2 linked regions of the Oryctolagus cuniculus genome follow. The protein of the gene in region 2 purifies or fractionates together with the protein of the main gene of each other region. This does not show direct contact. Links are inferred from orthologs where the notes say so. Each region holds a gene or a part of one and is shown on either strand. Other genes may lie near its edges.

Evidence for each region. The genes of interacting proteins can lie anywhere in the genome.
Region 1: the proteins of PNMA2 (region 2) and RECQL4 purify together in Homo sapiens (affinity purification with mass spectrometry; 3 studies listed by BioGRID and IntAct, with this or other methods). This does not show direct contact. The link is inferred for Oryctolagus cuniculus from reciprocal best matches to the Homo sapiens genes PNMA2 and RECQL4.

Annotation. Positions count from the first base shown.
Region 1 is NC_091437.1:168,206,540-168,210,283, reverse strand, and holds the end of RECQL4 (ATP-dependent DNA helicase Q4), read left to right. Parts: coding exon 1-102; intron 103-176; coding exon 177-356; intron 357-424; coding exon 425-566; intron 567-652; coding exon 653-903; intron 904-970; coding exon 971-1,262; intron 1,263-1,338; coding exon 1,339-1,468; intron 1,469-1,556; coding exon 1,557-1,726; intron 1,727-1,801; coding exon 1,802-1,982; intron 1,983-2,053; coding exon 2,054-2,213; intron 2,214-2,328; coding exon 2,329-2,437; intron 2,438-2,519; coding exon 2,520-2,644; 3' UTR 2,645-2,787; coding exon of another isoform or gene 2,788-2,961; 3' UTR 2,962-3,037; coding exon of another isoform or gene 3,038-3,147; 3' UTR 3,148-3,149; downstream 3,150-3,744. Other genes in the region: MFSD3 (major facilitator superfamily domain-containing protein 3), read right to left, coding at 2,788-2,961, 3,038-3,147, 3,215-3,339, 3,426-3,573, 3,651-3,744. UniProt on the Homo sapiens protein: An ATP-dependent DNA helicase which unwinds dsDNA with a 3'-overhang in a 3'-5' direction. Does not unwind more than 18 bp of dsDNA. May modulate chromosome segregation. The N-terminal domain (residues 1-54) binds DNA Y-shaped DNA better than ss- or dsDNA.
Region 2 is NC_091433.1:47,729,498-47,733,241, reverse strand, and holds the start of PNMA2 (paraneoplastic antigen Ma2), read right to left. Parts: upstream 2,739-3,744; 5' UTR 2,641-2,738; intron 1-2,640. Other genes in the region: DPYSL2 (dihydropyrimidinase-related protein 2), read left to right, coding at 3,070-3,423.

The DNA of each region.
Region 1 (3,744 bases), on a different chromosome or scaffold from region 2:
GCCGCCCAGCTGCCTCCTGTGGCCTTCGCGTGCATCGACGAGGCTCACTGCCTGTCCCAGTGGTCCCACAACTTCCGGCCCTGCTACCTGCGCGTCTGCAAGGTGAGCCGCGGACGGGTCTGGGTGGGTGAGCGGACCAGGGCCCACCTGGGCTCAGTGACCCACCTCTGGCACAGGTGCTTCGGGAACGCATGGGCGTGCGCTGTTTCCTGGGCCTCACAGCCACCGCCACACGGAGCACTGCCCGTGACGTGGCCCAGCACCTGGGCGTGGCTGAGGAGCTGGGCCTCGGCGGGCCGGTTGCCATCCCCCCGAATCTGCATCTCTCCGTGTCCATGGACAGGGACCCCGAGCAGGTGGGTGTGCACAGCCCAGGGGCCCCGGGGCCCCTGCAGGCGGCCGCTCTGACACTGCCCCTCGGCAGGCTGTGGTGACGCTACTGCAGGGCGAGCGCTTCCGGGCGCTGGATTCCATCATCGTGTACTGCATCCGGCGCGAGGACACGGAGCGGATCGCCGCGCTCCTGCGAACCTGCCTGCGTGGGGCTCCGGGCCTGGGGCCCGCAGGTGAGGCAGGCAGGGCTGGGGCCCCTGAGGACTCCGCCTGGGCACCCATGCCTTCGTGCCAGCGGCTGCCTGTCTGCCTTCTCCAGAGGCCGTGGCCCAAGCCTACCACGCCGGCATGCTGAGCCAGGAGCGGCGGCGCGTGCAGCGGGCGTTCATGCAGGGCCAGCTGCGCGTGGTGGTGGCCACGGTGGCCTTCGGGATGGGGCTGGACCGGCCGGATGTGCGGGCCGTGCTGCACCTGGGGCTGCCCCCGAGCGTCGAGAGCTACGTGCAGGCCGTGGGCCGGGCTGGGCGTGACGGGCAGCCTGCCCACTGCCACCTCTTCCTGCAGCCCCAGGTTGGTCCCCCTCCTGGCCGCGGGGGTGTCCGCCACCCTGGCCGCTCCTCACGACTGTCCCCTGCAGGGTGAAGACCTCCGGGAGCTGCGCAGACACGTGCACGCTGACGGCACGGACTTCCTGGCCGTGAAGAAGCTGGTGCAGTGGGCGTTTGCGCCCTGCACCTGCTCCCAGCTGCTCCCAGCCCAGGAGGGAGGTGTGGGCGGCGAGAGGCCCGCGGCAGGCCCCCCCTCCCAGGAGGCCCAGCGGCACCACGGCCAGCAGGCAGCCCCCGCGTCCGGCAGGAGAGCCTGCTCTGGTCACGAGCGGCTGCTCCCAGCACAGCAGACAGTGCAGGCACTGGACATGCCGGAGGAGGGTGAGGGACCCGGAGGAGGGCCTGGGGTGTGAGGAGGGCCCCATCCTGTGTGCCCTGAGCCCTGCTCTGGCCCTAGCCATAGAGACTCTGCTGTGTTACCTGGAGCTGCACCCTCGGCACTGGCTGGAGCTGCTGCCCGCCGCCCACACCCGCTGCCATCTGCGCTGCCCTGGGGGCCCCGCTCAGCTCCAGGCCCTTGCCCATAGGTGAGCACCCCCCCCCCAGGCTGGGGACGGGGACAGAGGAAGGGGCTGCTGGTCTGATGTGTGCTCCCACCCCCCACCCCGGGCACAGGTGTCCCCCTCTGGCTGCACACTTCGCCCAGTGGTCACCTGAGGACCCCAGGCACAGCCGCAGTTCTGTGGAGTTGGACATGCTGGAGCTGGTGGACGCGAGCGGCTGGGAGCTGGCCTCTGTGCAGCGGGCTCTCCGCCAGCTGCAGTGGGACCCAGAGTCCAGGAGAGGTGAGCCCAGCCCCCCCAGCCCAGCCCAGCCCAGGCCCTGCTGCCTGCCAGCTTGGGACGCTGCGCTTTTGGCAGGTGCACCCAGGGGCACAGGTGTGCTGGTGGAGTTCAAGGAGCCGGCCTTCCACCTGCGGAGCCCCGGCGACCTGAGGGCGGAGGACTTGGACCAGATCTGCGACTTCCTGTATGGCTGTGTGCAGGCCCGTGAGCGCAAGGCCCTGGCTCGCCTGTGCCAGACCTTCCAGGCCTTTCGCAGGTGGGAGAGAGTGGCCAGAGCTGGGGACGGGCCAGCTGTGCAGCCCGGTTCTGACAGGCTTGTCTCTGCAGCGTGGCCTTCCCCAGCTGCGGGCCCTGCCTGGAGCAGGTGGACGAGGAGCGCAGCGCCCGGCTCAAGGCCCTGCTCGGCCGCTACTTTGAGGAAGAAGGGGGAGAGGCCGAGGAGCTGGGACTTGAGGACCAGCAGGCACCGGAGCTGGGGCAGGCCAGAGTGAGTCCAGATTGGGTGAGCCTGGCTCCAGGTTCCCCAGGCCACCCAGGGCCTTGGCTGTGTGAGCCACGGTGCCAGGGGGCCTGGGGAGACTGACGTGCCCGCCCGCCCGCAGCTGCAGGACTGGGAGGAGCAGATCCGCCGCGACATCCGCCTGCTCCTGTCCCTGCGGCCCGAGGAGAGGTTCTCGGGCAGGACCCTGGCCCGCATCTTCCACGGCATCGGTGAGGGCGCAGGGCCAGCCTAGGGCCGGGGGCTGGGGCGGAGGCGGCCCCCAGCTCAGCTCCGCACGCTCCTCCCTTGCAGGAAGCCCCTGCTACCCCGCCCAGGTGTACGGGCAGGACCAGCGCTTCTGGAGGAAGTATCTGCACCTGGACTTCCACGGGCTGGTGCGCCTGGCCACAGAGGAGCTCCTGCCGCCGTGCCGCTGACTGCCGGGGGGGGGGGGGGGCACAGCACACAGCATGGACAAGCACGGGGGCGGGTGGACAGGCAGGCTGCAAAGTGCAGAATAAAAGGCACCCAACACGTCCAGACACAGCACTCGGGCCACGGCACGCCCTGCTTTATTGGCTCAGGCCAGCGTGCTGGGGGCCAGGCCAAGGTCCAGCAGGGGCAGGGCCGACAGTGCGAGCAGCAGAGAGAAGCAGAGCCGCAGGCCCAGGCCGTCGGCCAGGGCTCCAGACAGGGCCCCCAGCAGCAGCTTCCCGAGCAGCTCCAGCGTGGCCAGGAGGCTGTAGTGCGTGGCCTGTGGTGGGGGCGGGGTCAGAGCCTGCACAGCTGCCCAGCCAGCGGCCCCGGGCGCCCCCACCTCACGCCCTCACCTGCAGGGCCCTGGGCGCCCGCTGACTGCAGCGCATCATCACGGTGAAGGTGACGGTGGTGACCAGGCCCCCCAGGAAGTGCTGCAGGCACAGACTCAGCAAGGCTGCACCTGGGGGGGGGGGACTGGTCACAGGGCCCAGGCTCCCAGCCCTCCCTCCCCGAGGCCAGCCCCTTACCTCTCAGGACGGAGGCAGGGCCCACGCTGGCATCTGGGGAGTCCAAGTGGAAGAGCAGGACGGTCTGGCAGGCCAGGCCCCCGAGGCGGAGCCGCAGCAGTGACCTCAGCAGGGGCAGCGGCCGCCTGGGACGGGGCGGGGGTGGGGACATGGAGCCACTGGGGGGTGGGGAGCAGGTGGCGGGGGTGGGGGGGCTGTCCAGGGCGCTCACCAGTGTCTGGCTAGCAGGGCCCCGGCCAGGGCAGAGCCAGCGATGGAGCAGGCCACGGCGCCCACGCCGTTCCAGAGCCCCAGCTCGGGGGCGGAGGCGCCGCGGTCCAGCAGGAGGAGGGGCAGCAGGCTGCCGGCGCCCTGCTCGCCTGCGGGAGACCCTGAGCTGCAGCAGCCCACACCCCACAGGGAGCCGTGCTGCCGCCTGACTTGAGGCTTCACTCACCCAGCTTGTAGGTGGACACAAAACCTGCCGTCCACATGGTCCCAGGCACAGCCAGCAAGCCCTGCAGGAGATGGGGGGCTTTCCCAAGGGGGTG
Region 2 (3,744 bases):
TTCAAAAGTACAACTTTTATATGATAGTGATTCTTCCCACCACACCCAGCTTCCCACCCGCAAACCATCCCATTTCCTTCTCCCTCTCCCACCCCATTCTTCATGAAGATTCATTTTTAATTTTTAATTATCTTTATATACCGAAGATCAACTCTATCCTAAGTAAAGATTTCAACAGTTTGCACCCACACAGACACACAAAGTGTAAAGTACTGTTTGAAGACTAGTTTTACTGTTAATTCGCATAGTACAACACATTAAAGATAGAGGTCCTACATGGGGAGTAAGTGCACAGTGACTCCTGTTGTTAACAATTGACACTCTTATTTATGACGTCAGTAGTCACCCAAGGCTCTTGTCATCAGGAGCTGCCAAGGCTATGGAAGCCTCTTAAGTTCGCCAACTCTGATCTTATTTAGACAAGGCCATAATCAAAGTGGAAGTTCTCTCCTCCCTTCAGGGAAAGGTACCTCCTTCTTTGACGGCCCATTCTTTCCGCTGGGATCTCACTCACAGAGATCTTTTACTTAGGTCATTTTTTGCCACAGTGTCTTGGCTTTCCATGCCTGAGATACTCTCATAGGCTTTTTAGCCAGATATGAACACCTTTAGGGCTGATAAGAGTAAGTTATTAACACAACACTTTCTTCCCAGCGTTGAACTTGGGGAGGCAAGAGTTCCTAATGCCCTCAGTCACGTGCGGCTTAGTGGTGAAGATTTGTTCAGAGAAAGGCACTGTGATCTGGACCTTGGGTGAACACCACTGAGTGACTGACACAAACCAGGATGGTCATGATGATACACTCTTGGGGAGACCACCACTGTTGCTTGTGGACTGCGATCATCAGCACTGGGGAGGGTGTGTCAGGGAGCTAAGATCATTTCCTCTTTGGCCTGAAAACTTCCATCAGCCGTCCAGATGCCACAGAAGTCACCTGCAGCTATACCAGCGGCAGACATACCGCGTCCATCTGGAAGGTGCCAGGGAAGTCTGCGCTGAGCAGCTCCGGGGGCTGGAGACTCCTGGCTCTTCCATGATGAACTTCTCCCTTCTACACCATGGGGCTGGCCTTCCTGCCCCTTGGAGGAAAGGCTTTGAACGCTCAGAAAGCAACACCTCTAAGACCCACGTAGCTGTCACCTTGGGACCACTCTCTCAAGTGCCATCCCTCCTTGCCCCTCAATTAGAAAGATGGCGAGGGCAATGCATTTAACGTGGAATAGGGCCCCAGATGGAAACCCCTGGATGTGGAAAAAATGTCCGACTCTTGAGTTTTTTCACATTTCAGGGAACCACACCCGCAGTTGGAGCCGGAAGACCCCCCCCCCACACTGTTATTACTGGGTCATTTCACTAGATTTGGGCAGCATGCCTCCAATCTCCCTGAATTTCAGTTTCCTAACCTGGAAAGCCCTGGTGATAAAACCCGTCCTCTCCCAGGACTGCGGTGAGTAGGAAATGATGTAACTCAGAGAGAAGCGCTTTATTCAAATGCAAAGCACATCTGGTGCGGGGATTCAAAATGCCTGCCTGGCTCCTCGGCCCCTCCCACTTGGCGGAGACGCCGTCCCCACAGACTGACTGGTTCTCCTCCAAACTTTATTCAGCCGACCGACCGGGCCTCGCCCTGTGGGGAAGCGTGGTTTAATTTCATCCTTCTGGGGGTGCGGGCTGAGTCTTCGGTCACCGGGCCCGTGGTCTGCTGCCTCTCTCAGCGCCGACCTCCCTCAGCACACTGCTAAAGGAGGGGCTGAAACGGGGGAAGGCCGTGGAGACGAGCATGGCAGGGCCAGCCTCATCCACACGAATCGCCATGCGCCCCGGAGAGCCGCGCCGCCGGCGCCGCGGTCCGCACCTGGTCTCCGCGGGGCGCCGCACAGATCGAGGCACCTCCTCCGCCCGCCGCTCTGGCGCACTGCGCCAACAGGGGCGAGGGGAGGGGGCACAGACACAGTGCCCGGATGCGGGAGCAGGCTGAAGGCTTAGGGAGTGGCCCTCACCCCGCTTCTCCCCCACCTTTTTTTTTTTTTTTTTTTGGCGGGGGAGATGGAAGATACCAAATCTTGGCGCAGAGGCGGCATGGCGGCCCTCAGGCAATACAGCGACTCTGCAACCTCTCTCTGCAGATTCCGCTGGGCTGGCACGTGCAGGCTGCAGTCTTGCCTACGCTCACACAAACCGTCCACCTGCGTCTCGCTACGCTACCCCGTCTTCCACTTTGCAACGCCCCTGCGCTTTACTCCCGGCCTTGTTGCGCCTCCGCACCCTCCACCACGTGCAACCTGCGAGAACCTTCTCGCGGGTCTCTGCTTCCTGCCGCCCCCCTCGGCGTCGGTGCACGGCAGTACTAGCGTCGGCGAGCCTGGGGGGTCCCCCGGTGCGGTCGGCGCCGCCTGCGCCACACCTTTCCCACTCCTACTGCCACCCTCTCCGCCACGCCTTCCCTGTGACAATCCCGGTGCCTAAATAAGCTGGTCGCCCCTTCCCCCTCCACCAGCTCCCACCCGGGTAAAACGGAGCGGGGCGGGGGGGAGAGTTCTGCGGCCTCGCCCCCGACCCACTCCGCAATGTGGCGGGGGAGCGGGGCGCCGGGGCTGCGCCCATGGGTCCTCTCCGCGCGTGCTCGGCCTGCTACTTACGGTGGCGCCGAGAGCGGCGAGCGCGCCCTGCGCTCCGCATCCATTAGCCGGGGGTCTGGCCGCTTCACTTCCGGAGCGCGGGGCTCCGCGAGGCGCCGCCCTCCCCCCCCCCCCCCGCCCGGGTCCCGCGCGCGCCCCGCCCCGCCCCACGTTGCCGGGAACCGGCCGCGTCTCGGCTCCGGCTGCCGCAGCGGCGGCCCTCCCAGACTCAACTTTGCCGCTAGCTTGCGCGGGGGGCGTGGGCAGGGAGGGGAGAGAGCGGGGTCAGGGGGCGGGGCCGGGAGGGTGGGTCGCCCGCTCGCCAGCCCGCCTTCCTTTCTGTGCACCTTGCGGTGGGCAGAGAGCGGCAGCGCGGTCTGTGCACGCGGAGAGGGAGCCTGAAGGACCAGCGCACGCACGCACGGACGGGACCCTCCCCAGCCCCGCGCCATGGCCGAGAGGAAGCAGTCCGGGAAGGCGGCAGAGGACGAAGAGGTCCCTGCCTTTTTTAAAAATCTGGGCTCGGGCAGCCCCAAGCCGCGGCAGAAATTCTGTGGCATGTTCTGCCCGGTGGAAGGGTCCTCGGAGAACAAGACCATCGACTTCGATTCGCTGTCGGTGGGCCGGGGCTCGGGGCAGGTGGTGGCCCAGCAGCGGGACGTCGCCCACTTGGGCCCGGACCCTCAGACGCCGTACTCGCGGCAGGGCCGGCGCGCCGGCGGGGAGCCATCTGTTGAATCCGGCAGGAAGGTGGAGATACGGCGGGCCTCGGGCAAGGAAGCCCTACAGAACATCTACGACCAGGTGGGTGTGTGCGGGGAGGTAAGTGGGTGCGGGCGCTCGGGCGCCAGCTCGCCCCTCGCCCCTGCAGCCTGGGCGCCTGCCTTCGTGCCCTGCCGCGACCGCGGCCTCTCCGCCTCCGCACGCGCACCCCACCCTGCCCGCCCCTTCTGCGCGCAGGGCGCGGCGGTGGGCGGCCGTGCGCCCACAAAGGCTGCTCGCGCTTCCCCGGGCTCGGGGGTTGGGAAGTGGATGGGCGTCAGGGACTGGCCGATCGGGGTCTGGGAGGAGAGGGGGTCGCCCTGGGAGAGGGGTGGGCCGCGGTTCCATTCTTCTTAAGTCCTC